Cricetulus griseus: one gene and its partners. The protein of the gene in region 3 purifies or fractionates together with the protein of the main gene of each other region. This does not show direct contact. Links are inferred from orthologs where the notes say so. Each region holds a gene or a part of one and is shown on either strand. Other genes may lie near its edges. The genes, in order: Cdk19, Polr2d, Med21, Cdk8, Polr2m, Rpap2 and Med12l.

Region 1 (3,500 bases), on a different chromosome or scaffold from region 3:
CTCTCACACCAGCATGTGGGTCCTGGGCAGGTACTTTTTACCTACAGAGCCATCTGTCCAGTCCAGAAATGTAATTTTTATTAAGAAATATTGAAGAAAACACTGGAAGTTGTCATCAACAGTTCTGTAGCAGCATGCACATCAAAGGTCATTCAAGACCTTATAAGCTTGTCCAAGTTGTTCTTAAAAAGATTTTTTTTTTTTTTACTTTATGCAGAAGGCACACTGTAACATGCTGAACCAAATTTAACCATAATTTAACTGTTAAATTTGGAATTTTTTTTTGGCAGTTTTAGAAACAAAATGTTTGAAATGCTCCAGTTCCCAAATTTTAAAGTTAGGAATTAGGTTTTTTTCCCTTCTTTTATGTATTAATAAGGCATTCTAAAAACTATACTCATCATTTTATTTGGCAGACCCAGTTTGAAATACCAAGATATAGTAAAAAACTACTCACAAGCATATACTGGATGAGAACTGAGCCCTGTGAATTTACAAATGGAAGCAGTATTCACTGTGCCTGTCACCAAACTGCCATTAGCTGCCTGCACAGAACCAGTCTGTTATCCTAGCAAAACTTCCTCCCAGAAACTTGTGAGTGTACCAGACAGTGCCATCTTCAAATCAACATTTACTGTAGCTGCTCTGAACTGGAATGAACAGTGAGCTTTCTTTACTGTACATGAGTAGTACATACTGCTTGCATACATGGCCCTTACCTATGTCCTTTGGACACAGCGAGTTGAAACTTACCCAAAGGTCATGTTCTGCATAGTCAAACAACAGCCACACCTTCCTGTCGCTGTGCGAAAGGAACACCTTCTGCAATGCGATCACGTTAGGGTGCTTCAGTTCTCTCAAAAGCTGAGTGCAAGAGAAAGAAAGGTTACTACTCAGTAGAAAGGAGGGCTTAGAAGGGAACCCTACTCATAACTGAACAGTTTATTTGAAACAAGGTCTTCTGTATCCCAGGACACCACCTTGAACTCACAATCCATGTGCACCACCATGCCTAGCTTTCAAATGAACTTTCAAATTTTGGAAAAGCCAGGTGAGCAGCATGAAAGGGAGAAATAGCTTCCAATACCATTCTTGGAGAAAAATTCTGTCAGCGAGCATGTGTGCACATGTGTATTTTAAAAACAGGACTGTTTGAAATGATGAACAAAATGAGTCCTGCATCACTATAGAATTAGCTGGGTCTGGGAAAACAGTTCAGTCAGCGAAGTGCTGCAGGACTGGGTTCCTCACTGGCGGGGAGTTCTATCTAGGTCATGGAGAGACCTCATCACAAAATACAACAACAAAAAAAGGACTGAGGAATGACACCCGAGGCTGCTCTCTGGCTTTAACATGCATGCCCATGCATGTATGTACAGACACAGTCAGTCAACTCCTCTCCCAAAAAAGAAACTGTACTTGGTCCATGTGTATTTTCTTTATGAAAGGACTATCTTCTTGAGAAAAGAAATCATACAGTCAATTTATATCTACAGTAGCACAATATCAGAGCTCAATATATATATATATATATTCTACAAAAAGGAAAGAAAACTGAAAATTCCACTCCTGTATCTATGGGGCTTATCGGGCATGGTAAGTCTTGTGTGCAGTGACAAAGCCTGGAGGTGACAGTGGCTAGAGTCTGGCTCTTGAATATCTCCAAAAGTCCTATATGCTAACGGCTTAGTTCCCAGCTCATGTTGACATCCAGAAATACTGGGCTCTTTAGGACATACAGTCCAGTGGAAGGAAGCAGGACTGTAGAGTTTTAAGCTCACTCTCCTTGGCTTATACCCCAAGAAGCTCTGACTACAAGGTACTGTGCACAAGCCCTAGGCCAAGAAGCATGGCCTAAATCTCTGAAACAATAAGCCATAATCAACCTTTGCCCATAGTAATCTGATTATCTCAAGGATCTGTCACATCAATGGAAACCTGACTAACATAGCAGAGGTTCTGTACATAAAAAAGAATAGCCCTCACAATACACAAGCTTCAGGCTCCACCCTGACAAGAAAGTGGACAGACCAAACAAGCAAATGAAAACCACCTGCACATTACAGGCAGCAGCTTGATAAACGATATAGGAACAATGACATGAGCTCACGATAAAAGCCTTGTAAATATGCCTGGGGTTCAGAATTAGTAAACACAGAGAAGCATGCTTGATTTTATTTTTGTTTTGTTTTTGTTTTGTTAAGACAGGAGCTCACTATGCATGCTGACATAGTCCTACTCAGGAGGTTGACGCAGGGGCATTTAAAATTTAAGGCCCACTTGGGCTACAAAGTGAACTCAAGGCCTAGGCAATTTAGTGAGACTCCATCTCAAAACAAAAAGCAAAAAGAGGGGTGGGATACAGTTCAGTGGTAAAATGCTTCCCTAGCTCTCGAGCTCGCGCACGCGCACACACACACACACACACACACACACACACACACACACACACACACACACACACACACACAAATGGATAACAAACAACCCAATTATGTTAGCCCAGACTGGCTCTGAACTTATGATCCTCCTGCCTCAACCTCCCAAGTGTGTGTAGTACACATTACAAATGTGTACTACAGGGAATGGAGAGATGGCTCAGCAGTTAAGAGCACTAACTAGCTGCTCTTCCAGAGGACTCAAATTCGAATCCCAGCACCCACATAGCAGCTCTGAAAACTCCAGTTCCAGGGGCATCTGATGCCCTCTTCTGGCCCTTGCAGGCACTATGTGTATGCAATACTCAGGCTTACATGCAGGCAAAACATTATTCATACATATAAAAAAAGCTAAAAAATAAAAACTGAAAAAAAACAAACAAACAAATGTGCACCACAACACCTGTCTTGGTAAGCAGTTTTCATGTCTTTTTATGTAAAGCTCATTAGACTTTTGTTGAGTATTTTTTCTTTTGTTACCTGTTTATTGAATACTTAAAATGTTCAAAATTATTATATACAAATGCTTTACTCTCATCTAATTCTAATAACAATTCTACAATGCAAACATTTTAAAGACCAGGGAAGGTTAAGAGTCCTTCTCCCTTGGGTGGGGAGGCAAGAAGAGCAGGTGTTGAGCTAAAGGTGTCTACCTTTGACCTCTGATGCTATGGCTCAAACAGCACTTCCTTTTGCTTTAGACGACAAATTAGTCCCATGTTCCTAGCCAATGACAGGCTCATCCCACACACAAGCGTTCTAAAGTTAAATGAAGAGTCAGCCACTGTGAAAGTTGCCACACTGGGACAGGTTTCTGCACATGCAGGGATGGGCGGCTGAGCCAGTGATGGAGCAGAGTGAAGTGCAGAATGGCTTTCAGACTCAGCTTCTCTGAATCATTGGCACTAGGCCTATGTTTCTATTCATACAGTTTATTCTACCAAATATTTACATCTGCCTCCCTATTAACTAGGAACTCCTCAAAGACAGTTTAATTTACCTCTGTGTCCCTGGGAAATGAATGATGAAGGCACATTGAAGGAGTTTGCAGGGTGTGTTGTT
Region 2 (4,271 bases), on a different chromosome or scaffold from region 3:
GGGGGGTTTGAGACAGGTTTTCTCTGTGGCTTTGGAGGCTGTTCTGGAACTAGCTCTTGTAGACCAGGCTGGTCTCGAACTCACAGAGATCCGCCTGCCTCTGTCCCCCGAGTGCTGGGACTAAAGGCACCACCACCCGGCTTTCAATCCATTTTTAAAGATTTATTTTGAGCCGAGTGGTGGTGGTGCACACCTTGAATACCAGCACTCGGGAGGCAGAGGCAGGTGGATCTTTGTGAGTTCAAGTCCAGCCTGGTCTACAGAATGAGTTCCAGGACAATAAGGACTGTTAACACAGATACATCCTGTCTCGAAAAAGAACAACAAAAAAGATTTATTTTGTGTGTATGTACAGGGTGTGTGTGCTCCAAAAGAGGATAGAAAGGGCTTTGGATCCCTTGTAGCTGGAGTCAACAGGTGTTTGTGAGCCTCCTAATGTGGATTCTGGAAATTAACTCAGGTCTTCTAAAAGCACATCAGTGTTCTTAATCACAGTGCCATCTCTCCAACCCCTTCAATTCATTTTTTATTAAGTTAGCTGAATTTAGTACTGTTTCCTAATGAGCCAAGCGCTGGGGAAGATTTTTTCCCCCCTTATTGTACAAACACTTGTTTTCTCTTGTGTTGAAAATAGCATTACTTTTTCCTTTAACTTTCCACTTATGATTCAAACGTCCCACAGACACACTAAAGGATTCTCAATATTAGAGTTCATTTGCTCTGAATTATTAAATACAGTACAAACAATTAACCCTCGCACCCCATTTTGCAACAGGATGGTATGTAGCCTGGATTGGCATGAATCACGGATTTGCTATATAGCCAAGGCTCAGTCTCGAACGTTGTTTTTGCTTGTTTTGGTTTTTTGAGACATGGTCTCACTCTGTAGCTCTGGCTGTCCTGAAACTATCACTGTCGTTGAACTCTAAGATCCTCCTGCTCCTGCCTTGCAACTGCTGGGATTAAAGGCATCTGCCACTATACACCGCTCTCCTTCAACTCTTTATCCTCTTGCCCAGTAGATTAATACATGACCACCACATCGGGTTAATCAATTTGTTTTTTACATAATCAAATCATTGAAAGACATTCCAATATGTTTCTGTAGTCACCTACCCAGCTTCCTTCCCATCATAGGCCATTCCTTGGGTCGGTCACTTTGGTCTTTCCTGCACTTCACTTAATCCTTTTCTCCTGAACGGGTTTACTGACCATTCCAGGTCTCACGGCAAGAGCGTTTGGAGAAAATAAACAGCTCATCTCCAAGACGGCAGTACAGAACCCCCTCCAACGACCGGGAGCCACCAGGAATGCGACCTGAGCGCCCTCCTCGCGCAGTGAGGCCAGTCTCGTGAGTGGCCCCAGTACCTCCCCCTTCCAACCTTCCCCTCCCGCCCACTCGGCTTCCTTAGGGCCCGCCCTTTCCATCTGGCCCCGCCCCTGAACCGGATAGGTTCCTCCCTTGGTGGGTAGCCCGCCCTCGCGGCTTCCGTTTCCGGTGGTTTCTGTGGCGGTACATCCTGAAGCAATGGCGGCCGGCGGCAGCGATCCCCGGGCTGGCGACGTAGAAGAAGACGCGTCTCAGCTCATCTTTCCTAAAGGTGGGACCCGGGGCACCTCGACTCCGAGGTGACATGGTCCTTGAGTTACAGTCGTTATCCGCTCCTTGGTTAGCCCTAGCCCTGGCACGTCGTAGGATTGCCAAGGGATACGCACAGGGGATTGGTCAGCACGGCACAGATGAACCCTTGCGTGGTTTACTTAATTCCTTGGAGAAACGTCCACGCCCGGGGTTTTGGAATCGTGGATATCCACATACCCTACTCTTGTAGTGCCACTTGCTACCTTTTTTTTTTCCTGCTTTTTCGAGACAGAGTTTCTGGCCTCGAACTCGCAGAGATCCCCCTATGTTTGTTTGTTTGTTTATTGTTTGAAACTGTGTCTCACTTGTAGTCCTGGATGGCCTGCAGTTCATATTGTAGACCAGGCTGGCCCTGAACTCAATGAAATCAGCCAGCCTCTGCCTTGTGAGTGTTCGAATCAAAGGCGTGCGTCTCACACCTGGCAGTTTTGTTTTTTTCAGAGTTTCATGCTATGTATCCTAGGCTGGCCTCCAACTTGTCACATTCCTGCCCCATTCTCCTGAGTGGTGGAATTAAGGGCATGGGCTCTTGACATTTAGAGGTATTTATGTCCATTTTCTGGCATGCAAAAGGCAGATCTGGAGCACAGGTCTTAGTTTTGTTTTGTTTTGCTTTTTGAGGCAGGGTTTCTCTGTAGCTTTGGAGCCTGTCCTCGATCTGAAGAACAGGCAGGCCTCGAACTCACAGAGATCCTGTCTCTGGCTCCCAAGTGCTGGGATTAAAGGCGTGCACCACCACTGCAGGTCGGAGCAGAGGTCTCTATTCTAAATTGACAGCTGGCAGAAACTCAGCTATAGCCCCATTATAGTGCTAGTCAAAAGCATCTCAAGGTCTATAGGTCAGAAGAGTGCCATTGCTCCTGAGCAGAGATGCTGTTGTCATTGGGTTCTGGGCCCTCTTTTTATATTTTTGAGTTATGAAGAACAGTTGGAAGCAAGATGGGTTCCAGTCTGGGATGACTGGTACCTGCTGTTCAATGTATTTTTGTGTGCCACCTTGCTCCTGCTACAGGGAGCCTGTGGTAGGTGAATAGTTTGAGCCCAAGAGTTCAAGGCTAGCCTAGGCATTCGAGTAAAACACCAAGATGAGTGCTGTGCCTTTGTGAGTTTTGTTTTGAGCAGGGTCTCATGTAGCCCAGACTGGCTTGAAACTAGGAAGTAGGCAAGAATGGCCTTGAACTTGCCATCCTCCTGCTTCTACTTCCATGATGCTAGGAATTAAACCTAGATTTTTTTTGTTCTTTGTTTTTGTTTTGTTTTGTTTTTATTTTAAAGACAGGATTTCTTTGTAGTTTTGGAGCCTGTCCAGGAACTCACTCTGTAGACCATGCTAGCTGGAACTTACAGAGATCCTCCTGCCTCTGTCTCCTGAGTATTGGGATTAAAGGCTTATGCCACCACCACCGGGCTTAAGCCTAGTTTTTTGTGCGTTCTAAACAAACACTCTAAAAATTGAGCTACATCCCCAGCCCCTGTTTATGATAACAAATCCTTTTTTTTTTTTTTTTTTTTTTTTTGGTTTTTGGAGACAGGGTTTCTCTGTGTAGCTTTGGAGCCTATCCTGGCACTCACTCTGTAGACCAGGCTGGCTTTGAACTCAGAGATCCACCTGCCTCTGCCTCCTGAGTGTTGGAATTAAAGGCGTGGGCCACCAACACCCGGCCTGATAACAAAAATTATTGATATCTGTAACCAAGTGTCTACAGAAAAATTGTGTGTGTGTCGTGCGTGCGTGCTTGTGTGCACATACTCTCAGACTCACGTGTATACAGGTACCTGTGGAGCCCAAAGGTATCATATTGCCTGGAGCTGGATGTATGGATTTATGTGAACCGTTTGAATTGGTTGTGGGGAACTGAATTTGGGTTCTCTGTAAGAACATCAAGACTTCTCAACTACTAAGCCTTCTCTGTGGACTATGCCCTCGCTCCTCCCACCCCCAATTTTTGAGATAGAGTCTCATGTAGCACTGGCTAGCCTGGAATTTTCTTTTCTTTTTTTTTTTTAAGATTTTATTTATTTATTATGTATACAACATTCTGCTTCCAGTATATCTGCACACCAGAAGAGGGCACCAGATCTCATAGTGGATGATTGTGAGCCACCATGTGGTTGCTGGGAATTGAACTCAGGACCTCTGGAAGAGCAGTCAGTGCTCTTAACCTCTGAGCCGTCTCTCCAGCCCTAACCTGGAATTTTCTATGTAGACCAGGCTGGCATCACACATGCAGAGATTCTCCTGTCTCTGTCTCCCAAGTCCTGGTATTACAGCCATGTGCCCAATTTGTGTGGTGCAGTGGATGGAATTTATGGCTTTGTGCATACTGAGGAAACATTCTATCAACCAAGGTACATTCCCAGCCCAGATAGCAACATTAACTTATTTGTTTGTGTGTGTATGTATATGTTATGTACATATGTGTGGGCACATGTTCTTATGCAGGTGCTTTTAGAGGCCTGGAGTTAATGTTAAATAACCTCCTTGATTATTTTCCACTTACTGAGGCAAACTCTTGCTGAACCCAGAGCTCACAGCTGATCTAACTGGTCAGCTTGCCTCCAGGGAATAAATACCTTGTCTCACTACCAACTGCTGGATACAGGCACCCCACTATACCAATTTTTGGGG
Region 3 (4,022 bases):
ATTTATTTTTATTTTATATTGGTGTTTTTGCCATGAATGTCAGGTTCCCTGGAATGGAGTTACAGACAGTTGTGAGCTGCCATGTGGTTGTTGGGAATTGAACCCCGGTCCTCTGGAAGAGCAGTCAGTGCTCTTAACCACTGAGCTATCTCTCCAGCCCCAAATTAGTTCTTATAATTTAAATGGACCTGCCCTCCCCCCAGGGTTTCTCTGTGTAACTTTGGAAGCTGTCCCGGAACTCGCTCTGTAGACCAGGAGGGCCTGGAACTCAGAGATCTCCTGCCTCTCCCTCCTGAGTGCTGAGATTAAAGGTGTGTGCCACCATGCAGGGCAACCCATGTTTTTTAATTTGCTTGCTTTTATGTAACTTGTTACCTTTACTTATCTTTACTTAGTTTTTTATTACACCAATCACAGCCATACATCTTCCCAGTGCGCATCACACAGTATCACTCTTCGCATGTAAAACTATCAAAGATCTCAATTCTAAATCTAAATTCTGAACCTGCCTAACTTGCTTATTTTCCTGGAACCTCTCTTCTGGCCCCAGGGCCCTTCCCTTTCCTCTGAAGCCTTCTCTTCCTCACAGCTACAGAGGACTGTGTAGTTAACTGTGCTGACTACACACCTCTTATCTCCAAATGCCCATCTCCAAATGCCTTTCACCTCCAAAGGTGAAAACCTTTGCCTGTCATTCCTCACCACGGCACAGTTTAACGCTTAGTTTCCCACGCTTCCCATTTCTGCTGTGTCAGTTTCCCCACTCAAGAATTAAAGCACGAATCTAGCCTACAGTTGGGCAAGCACCTCTTGGCCCAATCCAACAAGACACCTAACTAACTCTTGATTTCCTGGCGAATGATAATCTGCTGGGTTTAACCATTTGTGAAGGGTTCGCCGTGTGGTCCACCTGGAAAGCACAAGTGAAGGAAAACAAGTGTTCCAGATGACGCCCAAAACAGAACCCCGGAGCCACACGCAAGCAAAACACACCGCGGGCCCGCCAGGACCGCCTCAAACACGGCTACAGCCAGGACGGCAGGCGGCGACCGTCCCTGGAGCATCTCGGCGCCGCGGGCCTGGCTCCACCCCCGGCTCCGCCCTCCAGACCCGCCTCCCAGACCCGCCTCCCCGGATCCGCCCGCTCCGCCCGCCTCCCCGGCCCCGGTGAGCCGCGGGATAGCCCCGCCCTCCGCCGCAGCGTGCGTCCTTGGCCACGCCCCCTGGAAGGGAGCCCTGTGATTGGCCCAGAGCCGCCATAAATTACCCAATCGCCGCTGAGCGGGGAGCTTCGGCGTCGCTGCGTACGCGGGAACATGGCGGATCGCCTCACGCAGCTGCAGGACGCGGTGAACTCGGTGAGGCTCCCGCCTTAGTCGGCCTGTCCTTCCCGTTCTTCCCGTTCTTCCCGTCCTTCCCCTCCTTCCCGTCCTTCCCGGGGAGGAGAGGAGAGGAGAGGAGAGGAGGGCCGGGGAGAGGAGGGCAGGAGGGCCGGGGAGAGGAGGGCAGGAGGGCAGGAGGGCCGCGTCGAGCGGATGTTCACAAGGGCGATTTTTGTTTTGTGTTGAGAGAGTCTCCCGCGTACCCCCCTGGCTGACCTGGAAATCACTGTGGAGACCAGGTTGTCAGTTAAAACTAACAAAAAACAACTGGGGAGTCATAAAATCTAAACAACAGAAGCTCCTGAAAACTGCTGCCTTCCATAACCTTGTCCCTTCTGGCTGTTACTCTTTTTGGTTTTTGTTTGTTTGTTTTTTTGGGACAGGGTTTCTCTGTGTAGCTTTGGAGGTTGTCCTGGTACTCGCTCTGGAGACCAGGCTGGCCTCGAACTCACAGAGATCCTCCTGCCTCTGCCTCCGGTGTATTGGGATTAAAGGCGTGCCCCACTAACGCCCTGCCTCTGAGCCACATTTTTAATCCCATTAATCCCAGCCCTCTGGAGGCAGAAGCAGGCAAATCTGAGTTTGAGGCCAGCCCCAAAGTTAGTTCCAGGACAGCCAGAGCAGTGTAGAGAGAGACCCTGACTCCAAAAAATAAAATAAAAAATGTTTCTGCTTATTACCATTAAGAGCACAACACTTTTCCACTGGTAGTTAAAAATGTCCGTGTCATCCTGGTTGTAGTTTGTTCTAGGTAAAGTGCCTGTAGAGTGTCTGCCTACTGGAAAAAAACAAAACCCAGTCCCTGGCCTGTGTTTTTCTTACAGAAAGGTCATAACTTGGCTTCTTGGTAATACATCACTTTTAGAGATTGTGAATCTACTTGTGGGAAAACTGCCTACTCTGTAAATAAAGTAGTTTTTAAATTGAGGGGCTATCCCTAAATGTTGGTGAACTCACCAAGCTAAAATGTAAAGATTTCCCTGGGCTGCCAGCCATTCTCTCCCAAGAAAGTACTCCTTTGAGGTTTTAAAAATCTCTTAATGCAGTGTAGGAGCTTATCTCAGAATTTCGTCTTCGTGTAGGTCCTGTAGCTAGGGTGGTAAGGATGCTATATGGTCTTGACTCATGTTAGGAATACTGTTAATTTAGCTAACTTGGATGCCTACTGTGTCAATAGGCAATGTGTTTACAAAGAGCTACCCCTGGGGGAGCTTAGAAAGATGCCATGAACTCAAGAGACTTTCAGATGTGAAACCCCGTTCATGGCTAGGGAGTTAGAGTAAACTGCTTTCAGTTCTTCAGTGCTAAAGTAGATTGGAACATAGAGCAGTGTTAACATTTGTTCTACCATCTGGAAACATGTTCATCTCTATAATATTTATATATAGTACTTGCCATGGGGTTCATTTTTCAATAAATATGTTTTTGAACAGATGAACAATGGGTCTTGAAAGCATTTGCAGGACAGAATACATAACTACTGTTCTGAATAAGTTTCATTTGGGTTTTTCTTTGTCTTAAGACAGTGTTGCAAAATGGAATGCTGCAACTTAAAATAAAGTCACCCAGGTTAGCTTTTAATGACAGCTCAGATTTTTGTCATTGAAATAATGACAGCAAAATAATAGAAACAATAGAAATGCTGTTTCCTGATTGGAAGATTGGAAATAATAGTTGAGGTTCCAGGGATTAGTGAGAAGTTGGGTGATGGGTTATACATGTGTTTAGTTTGCAGATGGTGTGAACTTGTGTTTTCAAATTACTTGACTACATTGGTTTTTTTTTTAGTTCTGCCTTTTTTGAGAGAGTCTCTTATGTAACTATGGCTGGCCTCTGCCTCCCAAGTGCTAGGATGGAAGTTGTGCACTGCCGTGCCCCAACAACAAATACATTCTGAGCAGTAAGATTACAATTGGAGTCTTGTAGAATTACAGTTCTGATAACTTACAGTAAGAAATTTCTTCATGTAGTACAGACTGGCCTGGAACTTCCTGTGTAGTTGAGGGTGACCTTGAACTTGGGTTCTTGCCTCCTGATTACCAGAATTACATGTTTGCGATGTTACTCCTAGGTTTCTGTTTCAGTGCTGAGGGTCCACTTCGAGGCTTCACCATGCTAGGCTAGCAGTCTCCCAGCTGAGCTTATCCCCAATACGCCCACTATTTGTTTATATTTGGTAGCTGCTCTGCACAGACAAGAGATCATGTGCTTTGTACACCCCAATTTTGAACCTCAGGAAAGAACAGACAATCATTCTTGCAATTAGAATAGAATGTGTTATCTACCAGTTCGACTACTTTGGTATCTTAGGATTTGTTTATAGAGTTATGATTTGAAAGAGTCTTTTTTTTTTTTTTTTTTTTTTTTTTTTTTTTTTTATTTTAAGTATTCCTGTGTACCTCATGGGCGCCTGGGACCCATGGAGACCAGAAGAGGCTATCAAATCCCTTGGGATTAGAGTTACAGTTGTGAGCTGTGGATTCAAATCCCTTGGGATTAGAGTTATAGTTGGGAGCTGTGGATTCTGGGAGTTGAACCCAGATTCTCTGCAAAAGCAGCCAGTACTCTTAAGCATGACTCTTTCTGTATTGCAATTTCTGCATCTGCTAGGATGGATACCCATAAACATTCGAAGAGAGG
Region 4 (3,078 bases), on a different chromosome or scaffold from region 3:
TACAAGTTTGAACTCCACCAGCAGTGGAGGAGTATTCCCCTTTCTCCACATCTTCTCCAGCATAAGCTGTCATTGGTGTTTTTGATCTTAGACATTCTGATCAGTATAAGATGGAGTATCAGAGAGGTTTTGATTTGCATTTCCCTGATGGCTAAGGGATGTTGAGCAGTTCCTTAAGAGTCTTTTCGCCATTTGAGATTGTTTTGTTGAAAATTCTCTGTTTAAATCTGTATCTCCCCCCCCCCCCATTTTGGTTTTTTTGAGACAGCGTTTCCCTGTGGCTTTGGAGGCTGTCCTGGAACTAGCTCTTGTAGACCAGGCTGGTCTTGAACTCACAGAGATCCGCCTGCTGTACCCCATTTTTAAATTGGATTCAGCCCTCTGTCACATGTAGGGTTGGTGAAGATATTTTCCCATTCTGTAGGCTGCCGTTTTGTTTTGTTTACTGTGTCCTTTGCTTTACAGAAGCTTCTCAGTTTCAGGAGATCCCATTTATTAATTGTTGCTCTCAGTGTTTGTGCTGTTTGTGTTATATTTAGGAAGTGGTCTCCTGTGTTAGTGCATTCAAGGCTAGTTCCCATTTTCTCTTCTGTGAGGTTCAGTGTGTATGAATTTATGTTGAGGTCTTTGATCCATGATCCATTTGGACTTGAGTTTTGTGTATGGCGACAATTAGGCTTTAGGAACAGGGCTCAGCTCTCTGTCAGGCTTTGGGAACAGAGCTCAGCTCTCTGTCAGGCTGTGGGAACAGGGCTCAGCTCTCTGTCAGACTCTGGGAACAGGGCTCAGGCTCAGCTCTCAGTTTAAAAAAAAATCCTTGCAACACTTGTGTGGCACACTGAAGTTTGCAGAAGATCGGAACTTGTTATATCACATTAGGAACAAACATTGCCAGAAGGTATTTAACCCAGAAGTGCTGCGTTTCCATACTAGTGTGGTATCTCTGGATGTAGCAAGGATGAGCTCAGTGTACTACATTACTCACACTTACAGTGTGCTCTCTTTATTAAGAACTATCACAAATGCTGAACCATATATTTCTTTAATACTAAAACAAGCTATGATAGTTTGTACTATTTTTATTCTCTATCTAGACAGATATGGTTACAAAGAGGGGAACTGACCTGCCAGGTACTCTCAACCAGTAAATTTTGAGTCAGGGTTTGGACTAAACAGTTGAGTAGGGTAGCCTCTAGCTCCATGCACCTCTTGAGTACTTGATTACCTGGTATAGCTGTGAGAATTATTTTTTTTAATTATAATGCAGTTTTGCTGAATTTGGACACAAATCTAACTGCTGTGGCTTGTGCGTTGTTTATATTACAACACTTTCTCCTGTTAAAAGAAAAGCAACAGGAAATGCAAGTTTGGTCATTCTAAATTGTGTGGATAATGAAGGGACAAAGCACTGGGGAGGAGGGTCAGAAGGTGTTAAGTGTAGTCACCAGGAGATGATTGTGTGTGCTGTTGCATTAATAATTGTATCTTGTTACTGATAATTTGAGAGAATAAAAACCATTCATGTTGTAGTGTTAGCTTTTAGAAGCATGCCACCCCTCATGGGTACTGACATATAAGCTTAGGGATAGTGCACTAATGTTTTTGTGGGAGCATGCACTGATAATTCTGTGACTTGTGATTTCAGCTTCAGAAGTTGCTCACTATGGACCCAATAAAGCGAATTACCTCAGAGCAGGCCATGCAGGACCCCTACTTCCTAGAAGACCCACTTCCCACATCAGAGTAAGTGGTGGATTTGCTGACTTCCTGAATGCTGGCATCTTTAAGTGCTCTTCCTCTTAGTTGGCACACTAAGTTGCCATGCCTCTGAGGGATTGCACTTGGGCTCTGGTGTTCCTAAATAAACTCATGTTCTCTCTCTTTTTTTTTTTTTAAAGATCGATTTATTCATTTATTCATTTATTTATTTAGCATGTGTGCAGAACACTGCAGGTATGTCTGCATGCCAGAAGAGGGCACCAGATCTCACTACAGATGGTTGTGAGCTACCATGTGGTTGCTGGGGATTGAACTCAGGATCTTTGGAAGAGCAGGCAGTGCTCTTAACCACTGAGCCATCTCTCCAGCCCCCTCATGTTCTCTTTACTTTCTTTGTTTTAACTGGAGAAGGGCAGACAAACACTGAGCAGTGGTAAATACTTTGTACCAATGAGAGCTGTCCTGTTTGGTGATTATTGATTATGATTACACAGTGAAGAACCTTCCAACCACCTGCTGCAGTATCATTGGTTAAAGGATTTTTTGTATCAGATTTGCATGAAAGATGCTTTTATCTCTAGCTATGGAGACCAAGTCCTGTCTTCTTAAAACGTGACAGTGAGTCACCTAAGTGAAACCTGGGAAATAACAGGCATCATGTGATAGAGCTCTTTTCTTTCCTCTTGTGAATAGTGTTTTTGCCGGTTGTCAGATCCCTTACCCCAAACGAGAATTTTTAACAGAAGAAGAACCTGATGACAAAGGAGACAAAGTAAGTATTAAATTACAGTCGGCAGTGCCTTCCTTGTGGCCACCTCTGTGACCTTTGGGATGTGGCCACTTCTGTGACCTTTGGGATGTGGCTACCTTTGGTTCTCCTTCTGAGTTGAACTATTTTCTGTTTAACCAATTGAGAAGAACCAGCAGCAGCAGCAGGGCAATAACCACACTAACGGAACTGGCCATCCGGGGAACCAGGACAGCGGCCACGCACAGGGGCCCCCCTTGAAAAAAGTGAGAGTTGTCCCTCCTACCACTACCTCAGGTGGACTCATCATGACCTCCGACTATCAGGTATTACAAGTGTCTCGTACTGACCTGCTGTTCTGGGGCTTCTAAAGGATCTGTTGCAAAGTGTGGTCTATAGTAGATTGGTCTACCTGTCAAAATATATCAGCATAGAATATTACAGGTATGGAAGACTACAGAGATGGAGAGTAGAAAGGGATCCAACTTCTGAACAGACTTGGAATAGAAAGTCCAAGGTCAGCAATCCAGTAACTTGAGACCTCTGTGGTATATCACAAAGTATCTACTGCAGCTGGGAGGCAGTGCAGCAAGCAAAGCACTCCCACATGA
Region 5 (4,027 bases), on a different chromosome or scaffold from region 3:
GCATAAACAAGCTCACATAGTACAATACTACTTAGCAATATAAAGAAACATTGGCATAGATGAACTTCAAGATCATTACACTAAACATTAACAAAGCCAGACTCAGAAATTATCAAACTATTTTCCAAAGAGGTTCTACTATTTGCAAACCCCTCCCTGTTTAGCTGTCTATGGAAATCTCAGATCTTCTTCTTTCTTCTTCTTCTTCTTCTTCTTCTTCGTCTTCTTCCTCCTCCTCCTCCTCCTCTTCCTCCTCCTCCTCCTCCCTCCTCCTCCTCCTCCTCTTCCTCCTCCTCTCTCCTCCTCCTCCTCCTCCTCCTCCTCCTCCTCCTCCTCTTCTTCTTCTTCTTCTTCTTCTTCTTCTTCTTCTTCTTCTTCTTCTTCTTCTTCTTCTTCTTCTTCTTCTTCTTCTTCCTAACACTTGACAGGGTCAGTCTAATTCCTGATATTCTGATTTGTCCAAATATCCAAATCTTGTTGTTTTGTTTGTCTTGAGACAGGGACTCACTATGTCGCCTTGGCAGGTCTCAAACTCACTATGTAGATCAGGCTGGTCTTGGACTCACAGAGATTAGCCTGTCTCTGCCTCCCAAGTGCTGAGATTAAAGGCATGCACTACCACGCTTAGCTATATTGTGTTTATAAAATGCATTTTATAATTGCTAGTAATACTGGTCATTCATTGTTTTTTAAATATTTATTATGTTTTGATTGTGTGTGTGCTCGTATGTGTGTGCATGTGAACCAGGTGCCTGCAGAAGCCAGGGAAGGTTGTGAGATGCCCTAGAGGTGCAGTTAAAGGCAATTGTAAGCTACCCCACAGGGGTGCTGTTACCCAAGTTCTAGTCCTCTGCAAGAGCACTATGCACTCTTAACCACTGAGCCATCTCTACAACCCCCTGTCATTTATTTTTACGGTTATTAGTGTTCATTCAGGAATCCCTGTGAAATGTTTGTCCAAACACTGTACTGCTTAATTGAGATGTGACACTATTACTTCTGGCATACTTTGCTTAATAGAAGTGAGTCAGTAAGTCTTTGACATGGGTGTCCTATACTTTCTCAAAGCGAAGTCGAAAAGCTGGGAAAGCAAAGGACACACATCCAGCGAAAGCGCGCCAAACCCAGACACTTCTGCGGTGATGTAACTTCCGCCCCTGAGCTCTTCCTCGGGCGCCCCCTTGCTCCTGGCCCGGTCCGTTTCCGGCATTTCAATAAAGCTCCATTCGGCTCGAAGAAGCCGTGCTCTTCCGGGAAAATGGCGACTCCCGCTCGCGCGCCCGAGTCGCCGCCGGCCGCGGAGCCTGCTCCCGCCGTGGGCCCCGCCGGGGAGCCGTGCCCTCCGCGTCAGCCGCAGCCCGTGCACAATGTTCTCGCTGCCCCGCGGCTTCGAGCCCCCAGCTCCCGAGGACTTGGGGCAGCGGAGTTCGGCGGAGCTGCGGGAGAGGTTGAGGCGCCAGGAGAGACTTTTGCGCAACGAGTAAGCGGTGGCTCGGGGGTCGCGGTTGCGGGGAATCGGGACCGGGATCAAGGGATAGGCTCTCGGGGGTAGAGATCCGGGACCAGCCTCCCGCTCCCCGCCGCGGCCTTTCGGGCGAAGGTGACCTTGCGTGGTCATGCCTCCTGGCCAGGCCCGTGCTGCGCGCGGCGTTCCTCCATGCTGCCTGGCCCTCAGCAGGCAGCAGCGCCTGCTCCATTCCACGTCCCCACAGCGGCTTTGAGAAAACGTAACCCTGGGGACCCAGTCCTTGCGACCAGACGGCGTCGATCCCCGCTTCTCTATCTAGAGCCCCACTCTTTCCCAAAGCAAAGGAGACGGGGAGAGTGTGCTGTAAAGATGGGCTAATTAGGCCTAGAAAGTTTCGCTCCCGCGTAGTAGGGTGGATGATGATAGCTGACGTTTTAATTTTTAAAGGCAGCTTTGTTTAGGAGCGGGGTTGAGGTAATAAGAGGCAGAAGACGCCAAAAATGTATTTTTTTCCGAGAGATTTTTTTTCAGCAAGATGGGAAGGTGAACTGTGAAGGCAATCGAGAAACTGGGAAAACTTAAGTACTGGTGAAATAATTTGGAGATAAATACATATTCATAGTTAACAGGTGGTTGAAATTTCTGGGGAGCCACAAAGGATAATGAGAAAATTGGGAGAGAGGAATGGATTCAAGGTTAATTTTTTTTTTTTACGCGGGTGTATTTAGTGGAGGGGAATAATGGCAGGCGTTTAGTTAGTTAAAAGCCAACTGATTAAACCCTGAGAAATGGGTACTAGGCTCAAGAGAGGGCTGAATAAGCAGAGGAACCCCAGTTGCAGAGAGGCAGAAAACATGAATGTGGTGTGGTATCGGGAATAATAGAGGACCTAAGAGATCTTCATTTGTTATGTAACTAAGGGAAAGAACCAGAAAGGGAATTTCACTGAGCAAAAGGGGCCAGTGAGCACTGGAGACAGGTATTGTTTTGATTCTTTTTTTTTTTTTTTCTTCTTTTTTTCTCCAGAATGGGTTGTTAATAATAGCAATAAATTAACCTTTTGATCTCAGGACATTTTTAGATTCTTTAAGAATCACTGGGCATCCCTAAGAGCTCCTGTTTATTTATACTGGCAATATTGCTGATTTAACAGAAACAACTTAAGTCTTTCACAAAAACACATAAGTCCATCTTCCTTTGTAAGATAGTGATGTATTCTATTATGTGACCTCTGTGAAACCTGTTGTACTCAGCTTTTATGACAGAAATGGCAAATAGTGCTTTTGACCCATTTTTCAGCCTCATTAGGGTTCAAAGACCATATTTTTAAAACCACTAGTCTTTATTTATATTGAACAGGTTGAATATCTGCTTTCCTAAATACACAAACCAGAATTTTATATTTTTAGGGAGATTGGAATGTATATGTGAGTGTATTGGGACGGTATCGAGTTAAGACCCAAGTCTCAAAATGATTTCAGTTGTTTCTTATATATGACTTTCAAGGTAATTTTGTGTTGTGTTCTTTATAGCTTGGGTTTTGACTGCATCTCATCATGTGGCAAGGTGTGAAGTTTTCCACAGGGCAGTCATTGTCTGGGCTTGAAGAATTTCAGATTTTAGATTGGGAAAATATCTGATGGGTTCCTGTATTAGGCCAGATAAAAATCAGATTTATTTTGAAAAAACTTCAAAGCCAGCTTTTCTTTGAGGATTATATTCTGCCTTTTAAATACCGTGTTTTCATGTTTAAAAACATGGCTCTAATGTGTACATGTTGGTTTCTTTCTTTCTTTTTTTTGCATTTGACAGAAAATTCATTTGCAAATTGCCCGACAAAGGTAAAAAGATTTCAGACACCGTTGCCAAACTGAAAGCTGCCATTGCAGAACGTGAAGAAGTTAGAGGGAGAAGTGAACTGTTTCATCCTGTTAGTGTAGACTGTAAGCTAAGGCAAAAAGCAACCACACGAGTTGATATCGACATAGACAAGGCCCAGAATTCTGACCTGATGCTTGATACTTCATCATTAGTTCTTGACTGTTCCTCTGTAGACATCAAATCATCTAAAACAACCTCAGAAACACAAGGACCTGTACATCTCACTCACAAAGGCAATGAAGAGACTTTGGAGGCTGACTGCACAGTGAACACCGGCCCTGTTCCCGGCAGTACAGCCAGGGCACCCTCATCTGAAGTTAACAAACATCTCCCCCAACGCCCTGTTTCAAGTCAAGTGGAAGACATTTCCAGCAGCATTGACAGTCTGTTTATCACTAAGTTGCAGAAGATCACAATTGTAGACCAGAGTGAACCCTCAGAAGAAAACAGCAGCTCTGAGAACGTGCCGGAGCTCCAGAGTGAGACGCCTAAGAGGCCTCATTACATGGAAGTGCTAGAAATGCGAGCCAAGAACCCAGTGCCCCCTCCTCATAAGTTTAAGACCAATGTGTAAGTGTCACAGAACAGGGAACAGGCTTGTCCCAAGAATGTTTCATGTGGTATGCCAGTTCAGAGAGTGCTGTGTGTGTGTGAGGATCTTCTAAGCAGGAGTGAACA
Region 6 (3,500 bases), on a different chromosome or scaffold from region 3:
AAAAGAATTGTTAGAAACAGGGAAAGGAAAAGAATTGTATCAAACATGTATTAGAAATGAAGAAATTAAAGCCTTCTGAAGTTTATGTGTGAGAAAGTATAAGCAAGGCTATGTCTAAGGAACGGAATTTTTTACCTCGAAAATTCCAGGATGTAACTTGAAATGCTTTGTCTTCCAATTGTCTTTGTTTTGATTGTCTTTCTTGGACAGTGGCTGCTCTGGAGAAGTAGTGCAGTTTTTCAAAGACGCCATTACAGCAGCAGATATTGATGGTCCTGGTGCCTGTGAAGGTCTGTCTCCCAGCACGTGTAGTGAATGCACCAGTGATGATGAGCAAGGCTTCGTTTCCTCGCTTCTCCCAGGAGACAGACCGCAGGCAGCAGATACGAGGCCACAGCCGTGCAAAGACAGCAGCACAATGAAAAAGAAAGCTGATCAGAAAGTGGACTCCAAGCACAGAGAACAGACAGTGGCAGATGTCACTGAGCGGTTGGGTAACTGCAGGTTGGACAGTCAGGAGAAAGCCTGTGAACTTCCCTCAAAGAAAGAAGATGCTCAGATTTCTTCACCCGGCCCACTGTATGAAGGACTGCACACCTTAGCAGTTCCTGACAACAGGCGCAGTGTGCCAGAGGTCACTCTTGTGGGGATTAGCAAGAAAAGTGCTGAGCATTTCAGGACCAAATTTGCCAAATCTAACCAAGGTTCCAAGTCAGCCTCCGGCCCGGTGCAGGTATGTCCTGAGGTTGCAAAGGCAAACTTACTTCGAGTTCTAAAGAACACCTTGACTGAATGGAAGACAGAAGAAACACTGACGTTTTTGTATGGCCAAGATTGTGCCTCTGTGTGCCTGAAACCATCCTCGGCCCCTGTACCTGATGAAGAACTCGATGAAGATGACATAAGCTGTGAGGCAGGTAGTTGTGGTCCTGCCCAGAGCCAGCCTCAGAACAACCTTGATGACACACTACCAGTCAGAGGCTCAGGTACGGCCATTAAGCCAGTGCCCACCTATGAGAGCTTGAAAAAAGAAACTGAAATGCTGAACCTGAGGGTCAGGGAGTTCTACAGAGGACACTATATCTTAAATGAAGAAATGACCAAGTTGCAGGACCCAGGAGAGGTATGTCGTCCAATGATTCTCTTTTTTTTTTTTTTTTTTTTTTTTAGGCTGCTCATATTTGGAGAGCTCAGCAAAGCAAATCTGGGGCGTGCCTCATGCTGCTTTCAGTAGGATAGATTAATTGCTTAGACAGCTAAATGCTTTTTGAGGTAATGTTCAGTTAGCGTCTGTCTGAAATGTTACAGGCATGGCTAGGAAGTTGGCTCATTGGAGAAGGTACTTGCTACCCAAGCCTGAGGAGCCAAGTTCAGATTCCCGACACTCATAGACGGAAGGCACAGTGATGTGCATCTGTTATCCACTGCCAGGGGAGGGGAGAGACAGGGACACGAGGGGCTCTCTGATCAGCCAGTCTAAAAGAAACATCTCCAAGTTCAGGGAGAGGCTATCTGCAAATGAAGGTGGAGGCTCAAGATAGAGGACATCATGCATGCCCACGAGTGCACTTTCACACGTGTAGGAAGACACACCTCACAAGCCAAAAGATGAAAGGTTACAGTGAAAACACTACAGTAAAGGGATTTACTGGGCAGTAATGAATACAGATGAGATCCACCCAGTCATTAAAAACTTAGTTCTTCTTAGTTCTTAGTTCTTTGTCTGTACACGGGACTTTCAGTAGCTTTCATCATTTGTTCGTCTGTTCAGAGTATGTGACATCACATAACTGGGTACAGAGTCCTCATACATAAAGGCTGAGTATACACTGCTGAGGTGTAGGAATGAGTCTGTAATATTCCCAATGCGTACTTCTGGTTTATATGTGCTGTCTGGAGGTCTTTTAGTGTGGAGAGAAGAGTAGATAATAGTCTTGATTTAGGATAGAACTCTGTTATTAAAGGAATTATAAGAAATGTTGCCCTCAAATTAAAAACACACTTGGAGATTTGGAGAGGAAAGATAGAAAGAGACACACATAGAAATTTCTTGGACCTTTACAGAACTTTTGCCTAGCCTCGCACCATATTTGAAACCACGATATCATTTTTAGATAGCATCCAAAACTTACATTAAGCTCGGAGGAACACTGGCTTCCAGAGAGCCGCATAAGCCTCACCACCACTTACAGCTTTACACTAAGAAGCCTTGCAAAGGAAAAACCAGTGTCTGAAGTGTGATTGTGCTGTAGAACGATTTATAGCTTTTTTTTGTTGGTGTTCAACAGCAAGTGTACAGATTGTTGAGTGTTTATAGTGAGCGCACAGACCAGGAGGTGCTTCCTTATAAGGAAAATGGATGACATCAGTGTCTGCTGTGATCATTGCCTCTCCCAAAATTATTATCCTACAGTAGAGATTACTTTTGCCAATTTTGAGCAGGCTATATTCTTTGCTATCCAGTTTGTTTCATAGAATACTGTTTGGGCTGGTTTGGTTTTTATGCGTTTGTGTTGTTGTGTGTGCCTGTAGTTCATTCTTTCATTACTGAGGAGTGTGCCATTGCATAAGTACAGTAGTCCCCTGGGTCCCCGGGGCTGTGTCCCATGAGCTCTGAGTCTACCTTTCGTGTGACTCTGCCAAGGGAAAAGAAATGTCTCCTCACCTTGAATAGGGACCAGCAATCCAAGGAAAGTCTGTCCAGGTCCAGCTTTGCAAGACTGCGCATGCTAGGATCACTGAGAGGCTGGGCAGCCATGGCTGCATGACTGGAAAGTCATGCATTGGTTGATGATCACCAACATCAGCCAGCCTTCTACCTTTTACATGCTCTGGCACCAGGGCCACATGTAGCTGGGAGGCTAGAGAGAAGGAAGTGGAGCTGAAGTCTCTGGCCTTCTATGGGGAAATGTTCACAGCTCCCTTGCCACTGTCAGACACCCAGCTGCCATGGCTGCTAGCCCCAGAGAATGTGCTTCATGATGGACACTGGTTATGAAGTCTCCTGGGAGAACGTGGCTCTGCTGCCCACTGTCCCATGAGTGCTTTTGAAAGCTGTGTTGCTCACTTATGGAGGGTTCATTGGCTCTTTCATATAGTTCCAGTTGTCTGCTAGAATTTTCAACTGTCATTTTTCTTTGAAGATGTTAACTTTATATAGCTTATATAGTATATCATTTAACAGTAATATAATTTCATTATCTGAATCCCTGAGAATTTGGCTTTGATGGGCTAATGCTCCTGATTTTTATTGCATTGTCTTATTTTATCAGATATCAAACATTTTGCAAACTGAGCTTAGTGATACATGCCTGTGGTCTGATGCACATAGGAGACCCTACCCTGAGACACAGGATATTGTTACCCTCTAGGAGGCATCTGTTCAATTCTCATGAGACTTCCAGCAATCCCACATCGCCATAACCTGATCATGAGTTGAGGTGACTTAGTGATGACAACAGTCCTTAAGAGTCAGTCTTTCTCCTATTCCGTTTTACTCG
Region 7 (3,500 bases), on a different chromosome or scaffold from region 3:
TACTAAACTGTAACAAAGCAAAAATATTTTTCTGTTTTCAAAAGTGACAAACCATAGTGTCATAACCATGAATTAAATAAGTTAAAAAGTCAAAATAAATAGAAGGAGTAGAAGGAATTCCAATATGTTCTGGCAGCTGAGGTTTTATATGTGAATGGTCTCAGAGCTGTTTTGTTCTTTTCTGGCTTGGATTCCTCAGAACAGGACATAAAGCATTTCATACATGAAGAGAACCCGTATATATTTAAGAATATAGATGTTTTTATTTTCCATAAGAAAAGCCATGTGTAGACTCAGAGGACATTCAGTGTATCTCAGAGTGTGCCCTGGAGTGATGGAGCGACTGTCCAAATCACGTACATGACTTCCTGGAGTTCCAGATTGCACCCATGATGTTTATGTCTTAAACATCGTTGTGTATTCTTTACCCATTTATGCTTTTATCTTAGTCATCTTTGTCAGAAATTTGTATATGTTATTAAAGAAACCTGATAGTTCTAGAGCTGAGGTTCATTTCCTGTTTCTTCTGTCTTGGGACTGAATGACAGTCCTGCATCCTTATCTTCATTCTATGGATTAAGCTATTAGTTGTAGTCTATTGTAGTAGCCTGCTTTTCCACACAACAAAGACCTAAGTTTTTCTTAAATCTAATTTTGTGACTTGCTGCATCGAGTAACGATCCCTTGGGAGCTTGCCATTGTGATAGTTGTGTTCCCTTTGTATTATCTTCCAATGCTTGTGAGATCTGGAATGTAGAGATTTCACAGGGGCAGGAGTAATTTTTCTCCCCCTTCTCTCATCTTTCTCTTTAAATTTAGTAGCCTATTGAAAACTTTCAGAGTCCTTTTTAAATGAATTCTCTCATATTAAAAAAAAAACTCATTAGTTGTAATAGAAAAGAATGTTCAAGTGTTAGTGGGTCATGTTTTCCCCCTAGGGGAATCTTCTCCTGCTTCCTGCCTTACCCATAAATAACATAGTACATTCAATTGGCAGCTACCAATTATGACATATCTTTTAGTAGCTTCTTGATTTTGCTCTTGCGTTATATTTTTGGAGTTGCATGCAAATAAGTTAAAGGTCAGCATCCTCCTAGATCACTGGGATCTGAGTAAACTTGCTTTGTCTTATTATCATAGACATAGGCCCAAGAAGACATTAATTGAAGTCATTTCCCTCTGTTGGTTCTTACTTGAGATCTTATTGTCTTGCCAGTATTCTCTTAGATAGTGGTCTCTGATACTGTATTAAAGGGTGTTGGGTATTAAAACCTGTCAATGTTTTTCTTAAAGGTGAGTGACCTTTCATTCCATGATTCATTAGCTACTTTCATTGCTATCCTGATAGCACGACAGTGTTTCTCCCTGGAGGACGTCGTGCAACATGTCGCCCTTCCCTCTCTGTTAGCAGCAGGTAAGCCGGCCCAGAGTAGCATGTGTTATTGGTTGCTGGTTGGGAGTCACTTAAGCATGGAGAAAGGACCATATTGGGGATTAGGGTGGCAGGATACCTGGTGGGAATGGTATAACTGGAGTGGCTGTTTTATGCAGAGTAACAATGAACTGAACAGGAATCCCCTATTGCTTTATACTTGGTTTAAGGCAGCCTGACAGTTCCTTGGAAAGGTAAACTTAGTTCAGAGGAGAATTTATTTAATGTATTACTGAAATTTTAGCAGGGGAAAACCTGAAAAGCTTGTTGGGGAGTATGTGAGGAATCTTGCTTTTAATCTCCCCCTTTTCCCAGCTTGTGGAGATGCAGATGCAGAGCCAGGGGCAAGAATGACATGCCGCCTCCTGCTTCACCTCTTCCGAGCTCCCCAGGCCTGCTTTTTCCCTCAAGCAACAGGTGAGCTGACCTCAGAGGAAGCTCTGCTTCTGTGTATTTGGAACTTTGGGTTCTGCTGTGACCAAGGGAGCTGTCCAGTTTGTAGTTTCCTCCCTGGCTTCCATGGGCTTGATCTGCAGATGATGCAGGACTGAGATATTGCCACTGTAAGGTCTGCCCACACCTCTCATTGTGTAATATGAGGACATATTGGGAAATAACATGAGGAATTAATAAACAATAAAAATGCCTGAGCTCTTAGGAAATACCGTGCTGGAGAGAAGTCTCATCCTCTTCCATAGCCGGTGTTGATTCTGGGCCATGCTGTCTCACCTTAGGTGGACGACAGCTCATTTATTTACTTTTTCCTAAGGCAGTGGGGGGTATTAGTAAAGTCTTGCACTAAATCATTTCCATATAGAGATGGATGCATCTGTGTGGGAATTCTACTAATCTTTTTCCTACATCTCTCTGGGGAGCAAGAACATTGTTTTAATAATAATTAAAGAGAAAGGGTTAAGTAAGAATACTGGCAGTGTTTCTTAGTGAGTCTGTGGAGCATCAATTAAAGCAAACTAATGTCAGTTAAGTGCCCACAAGCTAACAATGAAAGACCTTACTGAGTGTAAATGGTAACAGAAGATGGTTAATGATGTTGAAAAGGCCGTTAAAAGTTTGTTGTTGTTTTCATAGGCAAACCTTTCCCTGGAATAAGATCATCTTGTGATAGACACCTCTTAGCCGCCGCTCACAACAGCATAGAAGTGGGAGCAGTTTTTGCTGTCTTAAAAGCAATTATGATGCTTGGTAAGACTATCCTGGCATTTAGCCTCTTGGTTAATCACCAGAAGTGGAGGCAAAAATGATTTGTATTCACAGTGAAATCTACCTAATGTCATTGGAAACCTAGGGTTTTTGTTTGTTTGTCCTGGAAAAGATGATTGTCTTTGCCTAAGTGTAAGTAATGGGAACTTCAAGGATTCTGTCCCTTAGCTAAGGTGACCTTGGGGAGAACTGAAATATAAGTATTGTGTGTTTGGTTTTAACTGCATGGTACTTCATTCTGATGTAAATCACTCTTCATGATAGACAAGAATAATGACATTTTTAGTTAAAAGTTTAAATTTTGGTCAGATTATATTCCAGATGCAGAACATCAGAAAACCTGGGTTTTAACCTAGTGTCTCTGCTTCTTTTGTAACTCTGAACAAGTTCATATCAACCTACGATATGTTTTTTATGAAACAGGTGGAGCCACAATGATGCTAGTATTGCCAATGATCAGTAGGAGGTGCGCGGGCTTCAGATCTAATGAATGATACCCACGAAGCCCTTTACATTCCTACTTGTGCATATTTTGCTAGAGTAATAGCACTGCCTTCTACTCATGGGCAGTGGAACACCTCCGAATATTTTTAGTATGTAAGTCATAAAGGATTTGATTGATTAGGGGATCTCAAATGTTGCCTACTTTTAACTTTGGGTACCTCATTTTTACCTTAACCAAACAATAGTGACCATTTCATATTCTTAAGTAGTTCCTTTTGATTTAAGCAGAATTATTGAATGAACAGATGCCAGTCTAGGTGAACCTTAAATAACACAAATAATATAACCTTACCTTGCTTGACAGATGTTATTTGTGGATGGCAAAGAATAATAGCATAGTCTT

What was found.
Region 1: the proteins of Med21 (region 3) and Cdk19 purify together in Homo sapiens (affinity purification with mass spectrometry; 6 studies listed by BioGRID and IntAct, counting the BioPlex papers as one, with this or other methods). This does not show direct contact. The link is inferred for Cricetulus griseus from reciprocal best matches to the Homo sapiens genes MED21 and CDK19.
Region 2: the proteins of Med21 (region 3) and Polr2d purify together in Homo sapiens (affinity purification with mass spectrometry; 4 studies listed by BioGRID and IntAct, with this or other methods). This does not show direct contact. The link is inferred for Cricetulus griseus from reciprocal best matches to the Homo sapiens genes MED21 and POLR2D.
Region 4: the proteins of Med21 (region 3) and Cdk8 purify together in Homo sapiens (affinity purification with mass spectrometry; 14 studies listed by BioGRID and IntAct, counting the BioPlex papers as one, with this or other methods). This does not show direct contact. The link is inferred for Cricetulus griseus from reciprocal best matches to the Homo sapiens genes MED21 and CDK8.
Region 5: the proteins of Med21 (region 3) and Polr2m purify together in Homo sapiens (affinity purification with mass spectrometry; 3 studies listed by BioGRID and IntAct, with this or other methods). This does not show direct contact. The link is inferred for Cricetulus griseus from reciprocal best matches to the Homo sapiens genes MED21 and POLR2M.
Region 6: the proteins of Med21 (region 3) and Rpap2 purify together in Homo sapiens (affinity purification with mass spectrometry; 3 studies listed by BioGRID and IntAct, with this or other methods). This does not show direct contact. The link is inferred for Cricetulus griseus from reciprocal best matches to the Homo sapiens genes MED21 and RPAP2.
Region 7: the proteins of Med21 (region 3) and Med12l purify together in Homo sapiens (affinity purification with mass spectrometry; 3 studies listed by BioGRID and IntAct, counting the BioPlex papers as one, with this or other methods). This does not show direct contact. The link is inferred for Cricetulus griseus from reciprocal best matches to the Homo sapiens genes MED21 and MED12L.

Annotation. Positions count from the first base shown.
Region 1 is NC_048595.1:262,975,347-262,978,846, reverse strand, and holds part of Cdk19 (cyclin-dependent kinase 19), read right to left. Parts: intron 865-3,500; coding exon 754-864; intron 1-753.
Region 2 is NC_048595.1:205,582,468-205,586,738, reverse strand, and holds the start of Polr2d (DNA-directed RNA polymerase II subunit RPB4), read left to right. Parts: upstream 1-1,471; 5' UTR 1,472-1,528; coding exon 1,529-1,601; intron 1,602-4,271. UniProt on the Homo sapiens protein: Core component of RNA polymerase II (Pol II), a DNA-dependent RNA polymerase which synthesizes mRNA precursors and many functional non-coding RNAs using the four ribonucleoside triphosphates as substrates.
Region 3 is NC_048601.1:3,057,122-3,061,143, reverse strand, and holds the start of Med21 (mediator of RNA polymerase II transcription subunit 21), read left to right. Parts: upstream 1-1,222; 5' UTR 1,223-1,316; coding exon 1,317-1,358; intron 1,359-4,022. UniProt on the Homo sapiens protein: Component of the Mediator complex, a coactivator involved in the regulated transcription of nearly all RNA polymerase II-dependent genes.
Region 4 is NC_048597.1:82,215,072-82,218,149, forward strand, and holds part of Cdk8 (cyclin-dependent kinase 8), read left to right. Parts: intron 1-1,645; coding exon 1,646-1,743; intron 1,744-2,412; coding exon 2,413-2,491; intron 2,492-2,634; coding exon 2,635-2,793; intron 2,794-3,078.
Region 5 is NC_048597.1:182,991,350-182,995,376, reverse strand, and holds the start of Polr2m (protein GRINL1A), read left to right. Parts: upstream 1-1,227; 5' UTR 1,228-1,367; coding exon 1,368-1,480; intron 1,481-3,280; coding exon 3,281-3,919; intron 3,920-4,027.
Region 6 is NC_048600.1:2,380,563-2,384,062, forward strand, and holds part of Rpap2 (putative RNA polymerase II subunit B1 CTD phosphatase RPAP2), read left to right. Parts: intron 1-210; coding exon 211-1,123; intron 1,124-3,500.
Region 7 is NW_023276806.1:92,255,573-92,259,072, reverse strand, and holds part of Med12l (mediator of RNA polymerase II transcription subunit 12-like protein), read left to right. Parts: intron 1-1,293; coding exon 1,294-1,414; intron 1,415-1,747; coding exon 1,748-1,849; intron 1,850-2,521; coding exon 2,522-2,635; intron 2,636-3,500. UniProt on the Homo sapiens protein: May be a component of the Mediator complex, a coactivator involved in the regulated transcription of nearly all RNA polymerase II-dependent genes.